2 linked regions of the Coturnix japonica genome follow. The protein of the gene in region 1 purifies or fractionates together with the protein of each later gene. This does not show direct contact. Links are inferred from orthologs where the notes say so. Each region holds a gene or a part of one and is shown in the gene's direction. Other genes may lie near its edges.

Region 1 (5,088 bases):
TGCGAGCACTGCAACTACCCCATTGACCCCGACAGCAAGCGCCAGGTGAGGGGCAGCCACAGGACAGCCGGGGTGGTGTGGGATGGCTGAGCCCTTGGTGGCACAAGGGGACATGGGGCCTGCATTCATGGGACCCCCTGCTCCCTCACAGCAGCTCATCCGCAATGGCTCTGAGGTGCGGGATCCCCTGGTGTCCTACGAGGCCATGTCTCCGCCGTGCTCCCCACTGCAAGGTACAGCCCGGCCACGGGGGGGGCTGCTGGGTGTACCCCATGGCCGCCTCCATCCCAACCCTGTGCTCTCCCCAGACAAGCTCGTGGTGGCCCTATATGACTACGAACCCACCCATGATGGGGACCTGGGACTTAAGCAGGGGGAGAAGCTGCGTGTCCTGGAACAGTGAGTGAGCGCTGACTGTCCCCATGTCCCCGTGTCCCCCAGCCAGGGGGCCCGGCTCAGAGGGGCTCACAGGGCTGTGTCCTTGCAGGAGCGGGGAGTGGTGGAAGGCACAGTCGCTCACCACGGGTCAGGAGGGTTTGATCCCCCACAACTTCGTGGCCATGGTGAACAGCCTGGAGCCAGAGCCGTGAGTGGGGCCGAGGGGCTGCACGGAGCCGTGCCAGAGCAGCAGGGAGATATGAGAGCCCCCAGCCTCACCCTGCCCCTTGTCCTCAGGTGGTTCTTCAAGAACCTCAGCCGCAAGGATGCGGAGCGGCAGCTGCTGGCATCAGGCAACACACACGGCTCCTTCCTCATCCGGGAGAGCGAGACCTCCAAAGGTATCAGTGCCAGCCCCACAGCTCCTCCTGCTCTGCAGTGCGAGGAGAGCAGCGACACAGCAACCCTGTGCACCTTCCCCAGGCTCCTACTCACTGTCAGTGAGGGACTTCGACCAGAACCAGGGTGAGACAGTGAAGCACTACAAGATTCGCAACATGGACAACGGGGGGTACTACATCTCTCCCCGGGTCACCTTCAGCAGCCTGCACGAGCTGGTGGAGTATTACTCGAGTACGTGCTGTCAGCAGCTGGTCCTGCACAAAGGATGGATGTGGGGTGGGATGGGGTGGGAGGACACCCCGCTACCTGCACCCAGGTGCAGTTCATGCCGTGCTCCCCACACACACTGACACCAGCTCTGCCCCCCCTGTGCTGCAGGCAGCTCGGATGGGCTGTGCACCCGCCTCGGCAAACCCTGCAGGACGCAGAAGCCGCAGAAGCCGTGGTGGCAGGATGAGTGGGAGATCCCACGGGAATCTCTGAAACTTGTGAAGAAGCTTGGCAGTGGGCAGTTTGGAGAAGTCTGGATGGGTAAGTCAGGGTGAAAGCAGGGTGCTTCCTCCTGGGTGAGGGCACTGCCCAGACCCGCAGCATCCTCGGGTCCAGCACACGTCCTGTGCAACTTTCCCTTTTAAAAGGATCTTCCTCATGCAGTTTTAGGTTGGGATGCTGTAGGCAGATAGGTGCAGCCCCCTCCCTGCCTCCTCCACCCCACCGCGTTACTGCCACCTGCCCCCATACGTGCTCACTGTGGGTCCTTCTCTTCCATCACATGCTGCCCCATCTCCCCGCAGGCTTCTACAATGGCCACACCAAGGTAGCCATCAAGAACCTGAAGCAGGGCAGCATGTCCCCCAGCGCCTTCCTGGCAGAGGCCAACCTGATGAAGAACCTGCAGCACCCGCGGCTGGTGCGGCTCTACGCCGTGGTGACCAAGGAGCCCATCTACATCATCACAGAGTACATGGAGAAGGGTGAGGGCACCCGGGTAGAATAACTGAATCATTCAGGCTAGAGAATACCTCTAAGACAACTGAGTCCAACCCCAACCTGTGCCCATCATACCCACTAACCACGTCCCTCACTGCCTCATCTCCCTGTTTCTTGAGCACTTCCAGGGATGGTGACCCCACCACTTCCATTGGCCTGTGCCAGTGTCTGCCTGCAGTAGTGATACATGACCACGGCACTGAGACCTTGGGGTCAGCCCCAGTGGGGCAGGCAGTGTGATTTCCTGCCCCCTCTGTGGTCTGTGAGCCCCCAGCCCCATGCAGGGTGTTACCCCTGAGACTTGCTGCCTTCACTGCAGGCAGCCTGGTGGATTTCCTCAAGACCTCAGAGGGCATCAAGCTCAGCATCAACAAACTGCTGGACATGGCTGCACAGGTGAGGGGCGCAGGGCCATGGCGGGGGCTGCCGGGGCTTTCCTGCTCCACCTGAATTGTGATTGTTATGATTATTTGATCTGCAGATTGCTGAAGGCATGGCCTTCATCGAAGCCAAGAACTACATCCACCGTGACCTGCGGGCTGCCAACATCCTCGTGTCGGAGGCTCTGTGCTGCAAAATCGCTGACTTTGGGCTGGCGCGCCTCATTGAGGACAACGAGTACACAGCACGGGAAGGTGCGCCCATCCTGCTGCCAGCCCGTGTGCCCCATCACCCCACAGCACTGCACACAGCCGGGGGGGGGGCTGCCAGAGCCCACCCAGCCCTGCTGCTGGGGGTCACAGCCCTACCTGGTGGCTGCAGCAGGAACAGGCACACTGCACCAAACCCAGCTCCTTCCCAGCGAGCAGCAGGGACAAAGGCTGGCTGTGCTGTTATATCAGGTTCAACAGAGGGATGTCCCCTAATGCTCATTCTTCCCCCCCTGCTGTTTTTCAGGGGCTAAATTCCCCATTAAGTGGACGGCACCGGAGGCCATTAATTACGGCACGTTCACCATCAAGTCAGATGTCTGGTCCTTCGGCATCCTGCTCACCGAGATCGTTACCTACGGCCGGATCCCGTATCCAGGTCAGGATTTCCCGGCAGCTGCAGGGCAGTGGTGCTCGCACACACGCAGGCGCACACCCAGCCATGTGTGCATGCACTGCTGCACGCACACAGCTCCGCCTGGCCCCGCTGCCTGCCAGCCTGCCATGGTTCTGAGCTCTTCTCATTGCACGTGGCCAGCCAGGCCCAAAACCCACATTACTTGGGGGGGGGGGTTTAGACTCTAGGGGCAGAGGAATGATTCCTATGGGGTTCCCAAAGGTGGGGTGCTCCCTGCAGGATGTGCTGCTGCACATTGAGCACCATTGTCCCATTGCAGGGATGACCAACCCCGAGGTGATCCAGAACCTGGAGCGCGGTTACCGCATGCCACAGCCCGACAACTGCCCGCGGGAGCTGTACGAACTGATGCAGCAGTGCTGGAAGGAGCAGCCCGAGGAGCGGCCCACGTTCGAGTACATGAAGAGTGTGCTGGAGGACTTCTTCACCGCCACCGAGGGGCAATACCAGCAGCAGCCGTGAGGCCCCATGTTGTGCTATGGGCACGCTGGGACCACAGACCCCATGAGCAGCACCCAGCAGTGCACACTGTGCGCATCCAAAGAGCTTTGCCCCGAATGGTGACAGATAACTGCAGTGCCATGACTGCTGTGCACTGTGGCTGTATCACACTGTGCTATGGATGTCCCCCCTGCCTTGCTCCACAGCCCCCAGCATGGGGCAGCCCCTTGTGTGCTGGGCTGCACCAGAGGCCAGGCCCCAGTTAGAACCCATGGTGCCCCTCACATGGAACCCACAGGCCTGAGGCCTATGGGGCTGGGGTCGCTGCCAACCAGGCCTTGCCAGCCTCTCCTGCCCCCATCGGGGTGAGCACATGGACCCAGCACAGGCCGCAGCCCCACCAGGCCCAGGCCGCCATGGGCTCCAGGCCCCGCTCCGTGCCCCCCCCGCACCCCAGGAATGGTTCGTCCCCACCTGCTCCCCCCTCCCCTCGGAATGGTTCCGCCCCGCCCACCTGGCCCCGCGCCCCGCGGTGGTGCATCCCGCCGCGCAGCCGAACCTGCTGGTTCCGCCTCGCCGCCGCCTCGACTCCTCATTGGTCGTTGAGCTGAAAGGGGTGGAACGCTGCTTTTCGATTGGTCGCCTGGAAGCTGGGGGCGGGGCTGGTGGGAGCTCCGGCCGGTGGGGCGGGTTGCGTTGCGCTGCGCGGCGGTGGGGTCTGCGGCCGAGGGGAGACGGGAAGATGGCGCTGACACAGGGGAGCAAACGGAAAGTGTGGGCTTAACTACTATGATAGGTGAGGGGGGGGAGTTGGTGAGGGGGAGTGGGGGGGTTATGGGGGTTCTGAGGGGGGTTATGGGGGGGTCCGTGCTATGGGGGAAGTGCTGTGGGGGGGGTCTGGGGGCTGTGCTGGGCCGGAGATGGGGGGGGGGGGCAGAGATCGGGGGGTGGGGGGATCCGGGTCCAGGGTTGGGGGGGGGGATTGGGGTGAGGGAGTTGGGGGGAGCTGGGGGTTCCAAGAAGTGTGTGTGTGTGTGGGCTGTGGGGCTGGGATGGGAGCAGGGGCTGCTCTGAGAGATGGGGGGGGCTGCGAGGGGAGGAAGGAGCTGTGCTGGGTCAGCGGTGCCCCCATGGAGGTGGGGTGGAACAGGGGCACTGTGCACAGCAGCATTGGGGCTGTCCTGCCCTTCAGGAAGCTGCTTTCTGGCCTTTTAATCTTCCCACTGGGTTGGGGGTAGCGGGGTGTTACAGCTCTTTCCCCGCTGGCAGCACAGCTCGTCCCACTGGACACGTTCACAGCCCCCCCCCCCCCCCCCTTTGGAGGGTGACCTCAGTGATGGATGGTTTTTGTTAGGCTCTGGGATTGCTTTGTGCAGGAGGTATTGTGTGGTTCTTTATTTCATTCTAGTTTGCAGTCTGTGAAGTTAAATAAAAACTTTATTCCTTTTCTTTTTTCCCCCGGTAAGTGGATGTGTTCCACACTCAAACAATAAAGTGAGCTCTTCTAAACTGCTTTCTGTGTTGGGCAGGTAGTGAGGGCTCTCATTTCTTCTCAGAAGCAAACATGAGCAGTAGGATTGCATCCTGTGGTGGTGGCCCTGAGTCTTCAGGCAGGGTGAGGAGGAGGAAGGGATCAGAGCAGCAGAACTGCCTGAATTCAGCACACAAGCTGCCTGTGGAGCCCCAGCATCTCAAAGTGCAGTTTGGGGCTGGAGCCCTGGGCTCAGTCAGGCCCAGTTTAAGCACAGAGTGCTGGCAGGAAGCGGCAGGGTGCTGGTTATGCACAAGCAACCCGGGTGTGGAAGATCT
Region 2 (5,669 bases), on another chromosome or scaffold:
GAAGTCTGCTGGGCTGAGTGTTTGAGGTTTGCAGCTTAAGGCTGTGTTCACTCTTTGTCCCTCTGGGCCAGGTGTGTTCATTGACTCAGTTCTGCTATAGGTTCCAGTGCTGCCTCGCTCTACCCTGTGCTGAACTTCTTGCTGTATGTGCCCGAGCGCTCCCACTCCCCACTCTACATCCAGGATAAGGATGGAGCCCCAGTGGCTACCAATGCCTTCCACAGCCCCCGCTGGGGTGGCATCATGGTACGGGGCCATGGTGTTAGCAGCTTAACCTCCACACCAGGCTCTGGCTGTGCCTCACTGACGTGCTTTCCTGCAGATTTACAACGTTGAAGTCCCTGCTTCCCCCCAAACCTCCCTCCCACTGCACGTGGATGTGGACATGGTGAGAGTGATGGAGGTTTTCCTGGCCCAGCTCCGGTGAGGACTCGCTCTTCCCTCCCCAGGTCCCACATGTGCATTGATGGGGTCAGAGCCCAATGACTCCATGTTGGAGCCCACCAGCTCGGCCCCTCTGTGGACTGTGGGAGATTGAGGGTGACTTTTTGTGCTGACCACCAACCTACAGCACTGTTGTGCACTGTGCATCCTGCTGCAGGCTGGGACCTTCCCATCTGTTCCCAGGTTATTATTTGGGATCTCTCGGGAGGAGCTGCCCCCTGAATTCCTGGTGGAGAGCCCAGGGAATGAAGGAGTGGCCGATTGGGAGCTGGACCGCCTGCTTTGGGCCCATACATTGGAGAATATTGCCACTGTGTCCACCACCTTGACCTCACTGGCGCAGCTGCTGGACCAGATCAGTAACATCGTCATCAAAGACGACGTCGCCTCCGAGGTACGACTGGTACAGCCTGATGTGGGGAGTGGAGGGGTCAGGAGCTGCTGGCCCCATGCAGAGCAGTGGGGCACTGCCCAGGAACGAGGCCCCTTAGCTTTGCTTCTCTGGTGCTTCCTGGTTGAGGACTGACTGCTGTGCTGTTCCCATGCAGGTATACCGAGCGGTGGCTGCAGTGCAGGATGCCGTGGCAGAGCTGGCTGAAGGCCGCCTGCATTCAGCTTTCCAGGCCAGCAAGGAAGCTGTCACCTGCTCGGAGCGGGCGTTCTTTGACCCTTCTCTTCTCCATCTTCTTTACTTCCCGGATGATCAGAAATTTGCCATCTATATCCCTCTTTTCCTGCCCATGGCTGTCCCAATCCTCCTCTCCCTGGGTAAGATGCTCCGAGAAGCCAGGCAGAGCAAGAAGGAGCCCACCAAGATGGACTGAGCCCATATACGGTGCCTTGCCTTGGGGCTGGGACCTCATAGAGTGCATTGCATCACGGTGCAGGCAGGTGCTCACAGAGTCTTGCACCCTCCACTCAGAACTGCTGCTTTACCCCCCTCTTTATTGAGACTTGAGGGGAGGGAGGGTGACCTGCATGCACCCCACAGCCCCGTGCTGTGTTCATGTGTAAATAAAGAGCTGCCCTGCCCAATCCTGCCCTGTTGTGCTGTGGGGGCTGTGTGAATCTCTCCCACTCTCTGGGCTTTGGCCACCTCTTGCTTTGGACTGAGTCCCGTCTTAAAGGTACGTAGCCCATATAGCACCAAGTGGGGGTGGGGAAGGGGGTTGGTGGGGTTCAGCTGTTGGTGGGCAGTTATGAATGGGGTCTGTGAGCGTTGGTTTAGAGACACATTACTGGGGTCGAGCTTTTCCCTTTGGCACATTAACAGGGGAGCTCTCGTATTGGGGGAGCCCTTTTGGGGTCGTACGGGGGAAACAAGCACGTTCATCCCGATGCTGTCGGGATGCGATGAGGGGCTTTGGGAGCGATGCCGGGCGGTGCTGCCGGCGGCGCTGGGCTGTACCGTGCGGGGGGCGGGCCGTGCAGGGGGCGGCGCTGCCCCTCCCGGTGCGGCGGGGCCGGCAGCGCTGAGCGGGGCCGCTCATAGCGGAGGTAGAGGAGGAGGAGGAGGAGGCGGAGGGGCCATGAAGGTGAAGAAGAGCGGCGGGGCCGGGGGGGCGGCAGCGCGGACCGAGGAGGAGCTGGGACGGAAAGCGCTTATCGGGCCCGACGACGTGCTGGGGCTGCAGCGGGTCACCAGCGGTACGGGGCCGGGGGGGGGCACCGCGGTGATGTCGGGTGAGGGATGGGGCGGCAATTTGGGTGGGATGGGACACCCAGCTTGGGGAGGGGGTGCTTCCATTGCGGAGTGGGACCCCCACTGCAAGCCGGGCTGGACGTGGGATGCTGCTCATTGTGCCCGTCCTATGGGTGGGCCAGGCTGAACCCCACAGCTGCGGGGGGAAGAGAGGGATGGAGGGGTTCGGGATGGGGTCACAGATCCAATGGGAGGAGTGTTGTAACCATCCTGCAGCCTTCCCAATAGGTTTCCCCTTTTCCACCCCTATAGTATTGCTGCGGTCTTGAGAGCATCCTGTGGGGCTGGAGGGGCTGTTGTGCTCTGCTGGGATTGCAGCGTGCTGGGCTGGGAGATGGCACATGCTCCAGGCCAACCTGGCTGTGGTAGTGTCCTCCTATCCACCCCCCAAAGAGCCTTTCTATACCCCCGTGTGTGTTGTGTCTCTGCAGGGGAGGAGGGGGCAATGATGGGTGGCTGTGCTTGGAGCAGGAGCGATGCTGCAGGCAGGGCTGTGCCATGAGAAGCCCCAGAAAGAAGGGATGCGGTTGTGGGTATTGGGGGCTGAGCAGCACAGGGATGGGTGAAAGGAAGGAGGGGAGGAAGCCCTGCAGATAGTGCTGGTCTGGGGGGTCTGTTGTGTCTCTGTTTCCCTGCTGAGATGCTGGGCTGTGACTCACTGCCCAGGCCCAGCAATCAGAGCAGCAGGCACTGGAGCGTGCTGCCAGCGCGCTTGGAAGAGCAGCAGTTGGATGGTGAGTCCCAGCGATGGCTGCGCTCAGTGCTTTGCTTCTTGGGAGCCCACGTGGCCCTGCATGCAGCTGTGCCCTCTTTGGGGGGCTGCAGGCACGTGGCCACCCCCTGCCCTTGCTCATGGGGCACGCAGACCTCATGTGGATTCAACTCTGGGCATCCTGGCCTTGTTGCTGCTATTTGCTCTTGTGTGCAGGAAGGCTGAGCTGATCGCCCCATGGGCAGCAGAGCTGCTCTCCTGCCTCTTCTTGCACTCAGGCAGTGTCTTACTCTGCTTCTGCTCAAGCTTACGGTGGAGGTGTGAAGTTGTGATCCAAAGGGACCTGTGTGCCATCCTATCTCTGGTGTATAGGTCCCTGTAGGTTTGTATGGAAGCCCAGATACAACTCCTTCCTCATTCTTTCTCCTCGCAGCTTGGTGTGTACAGCATGCAGCCTTGGTGCCCGTAGTTAGGGCAGTGTCTGGGGTGGAGCCTTTGCCTGGCTGGAATTTGGAGGGAGGATATATGGGGTAGAGGGCATGGGGAATGCAATGCTCCTTGGACCATGAGAAAGATCAGCACGTAATTCCTCCTTTTAACATCAGGAGAATAAGAGGAGCTGGCAAGGACTTTGTGGTATCATGGTCATGTATGGCTTTTATAGGGTGTTACAGTGGTGATATGTGTTGGGATGCACTAAAAGGACCATCAGAGGTTGTTGGATGGAGAGACACGGGGTTAAAACTTCTCCCACTCTTCCACTTTTCCCTTCTTAGTAAAGCTCTCCTCTTAAAACTACTTGAATGAACTCTTCCCATTGCAAACCTTAGTGCCTGTACCACCAAGTCATCCCAACTTATGACCACAGCCCTTTGTATCCCTCTGACCCCTGTTTTGATGCCCAGATCCAGGTGCTCCAGCCCACGTGAAGCTGACACAGGAGCTGATGGTTGGGAATTGCAGCAGTGCCACAAACATCCCTCCCAGTTCCAGATAACTCATTTTTATCCAAACTTCGAGGCCAATACCGCAGCAGCTCTCACTATTGAACCCATTCTACTGCTCATGGCTCTCCTCCTGATGTCTTTTTAATAAGCTTAAAGGGGGAGCGTGCAAGCAGTGCTGCGTATCTGTGCCGTGTCCTTCCAGTGTCACATCCTACATGATGCTAAGGTCAAACCTGATGGACCCAGGGGTGCTGCCCTGGTGCATGTGGGTCTTTTGTAGGGCTGGGTTTAGGTGTAAAGCAAAAGGCCCGTTTCCTTTGCAATTAGCAGGATTTGTTACTTGCTCATCCAACTGTGGTTACAAAAAGAGGAAAACCTTGTGACGCGATTAACTGGGGATTAGCAAAGGGAGCAGGGCAGAGCTCAGTTCAAATTGCAATTAATTACTGCAGCAGCAGGAGGATCAGAGCGGTGTGTCTGCAATTATTGGGGTGTGCATCTGCCGACGTCCTGCCTTGTGGGGCAGGGAGAGGAGCCGAGCACTGTCCCCGATACCTTCGACCAGGCTGAATGTTTGCTAGGTCACGCTGTGCTGCTCCCACGTTGCCTGCAGGCGAGGTTAATTCCAGCACAGCTTTGATTTCTTTGTCTGGCTTTGGGATGGGAGCCATGGGTGGTCAGCAGGAGGATGGCATAACAGCATTTGCAGTGCCGTCCCCTATTGCCACGTGACGATGCCAGTTGTCCAACTGATGCATAACCAAGGGCAAGCTTCAGGTTGAGAGCACAGCACTGGGCACCTGCACGGTTTGCCTGTGCTGCTGGGATAAGGCTTATCTTAAGTTTTACTATTCTAGGTTTCATCCTAAGGGCTCCTTTTGATGCCAGCAAACCGAGAGGTTGGATAAATGATTGATGACATACTTGGAAACACTTACAAAACAAAGCCTAAAAATAAGGAAGGCGTGCTTAATCATTTCTGAAAGTAATCTCTTCCGTGAGCTGTCATTTAGGATCCCTCAGAGGCAGCAGCTTTACCCTGCCTGGCAGAGGGGCCCGGTGGTCAGGGCAGGCACCTGGTGGGTGCGTTGCATTACAGCTGAGCTGTGTTAGCATGAAGCCAATGCGTGCAGATCAGTCTGCAGAGCTCCTCCTGAAGCCACGACTTTCCCTTCCTTCCCCATTTAACCGAGACCACTCGTTACATCAGGAGCTGTGATTAGCTGAGGGTGTCGATGCGGGGGGGTGTTAATGAATCCCTGTCTGGGGCTGTGATGTGTGGAAGTGTTTTGATAGGCAGATTTCCTGCAGCAGAGCCATACTGCAGAGCTGTGTCAAGCTGCTGTCACCGTGACTTCTTCCCTCAGCAGCACGACAGACGCTGCTATGAACCTTTTCAAGGCTTGCTGACGGCTCCCAGCTTGAAGTGCTGTGCTGAGGAAGGGCTTTGTTAGCACTCTCACTCTGCAAGATGGGCTGCGAGATCTCCAGGGGGGCACACATGGTGTATGCATCACACCAGGGCTCAGCTGAGTGGGTTTATCCTTCTGCCAAAGCCCAAGGTTTGGGCTGTCCCCACCAGGGATGGCAAAAGGGAATGGAAAGCTGTGGGATTTGAGCTGGTGAGGCAGAGGGCAGGGAGGTGGTTGAGTTCTTTCTTTAATGGAAACGTGCCCTGCCTTCCCCTCGAGGTCCTGCACTCTGTCCTGCGTCACTGCTCCGAGTCTTGGCTGGGCTGCTGCTATTTTTGCTCGCTTCCTTCTGAGTCTCTTCAATCTGATAATCTCCTAATCTCCAGCTCCCAACAATTCCTCTGCAGTCGTCTCTGCTTTATACCTGGCTTACATCTTGGGAGAGCTCTTGA

Evidence for each region. Proteins that work in one complex are often made in the same cells at the same time.
Region 2: the proteins of LCK (region 1) and UNC119 purify together in Homo sapiens (affinity purification with western blotting; 3 studies listed by BioGRID and IntAct, with this or other methods). This does not show direct contact. The link is inferred for Coturnix japonica from reciprocal best matches to the Homo sapiens genes LCK and UNC119.

What each region holds. Positions count from the first base shown.
Region 1 is NC_029538.1:4,512,182-4,517,269, reverse strand, and holds the end of LCK (tyrosine-protein kinase Lck), read left to right. Parts: coding exon 1-45; intron 46-151; coding exon 152-233; intron 234-308; coding exon 309-399; intron 400-487; coding exon 488-586; intron 587-675; coding exon 676-779; intron 780-861; coding exon 862-1,011; intron 1,012-1,158; coding exon 1,159-1,311; intron 1,312-1,574; coding exon 1,575-1,754; intron 1,755-2,089; coding exon 2,090-2,166; intron 2,167-2,251; coding exon 2,252-2,405; intron 2,406-2,667; coding exon 2,668-2,799; intron 2,800-3,097; coding exon 3,098-3,300; 3' UTR 3,301-4,073; downstream 4,074-5,088. UniProt on the Homo sapiens protein: Non-receptor tyrosine-protein kinase that plays an essential role in the selection and maturation of developing T-cells in the thymus and in the function of mature T-cells. Plays a key role in T-cell antigen receptor (TCR)-linked signal transduction pathways.
Region 2 is NC_029534.1:4,517,114-4,522,782, reverse strand, and holds the start of UNC119 (protein unc-119 homolog A), read left to right. Parts: upstream 1-1,917; 5' UTR 1,918-1,973; coding exon 1,974-2,091; intron 2,092-5,669. UniProt on the Homo sapiens protein: Involved in synaptic functions in photoreceptor cells, the signal transduction in immune cells as a Src family kinase activator, endosome recycling, the uptake of bacteria and endocytosis, protein trafficking in sensory neurons and as lipid-binding chaperone with specificity for a diverse subset of myristoylated proteins.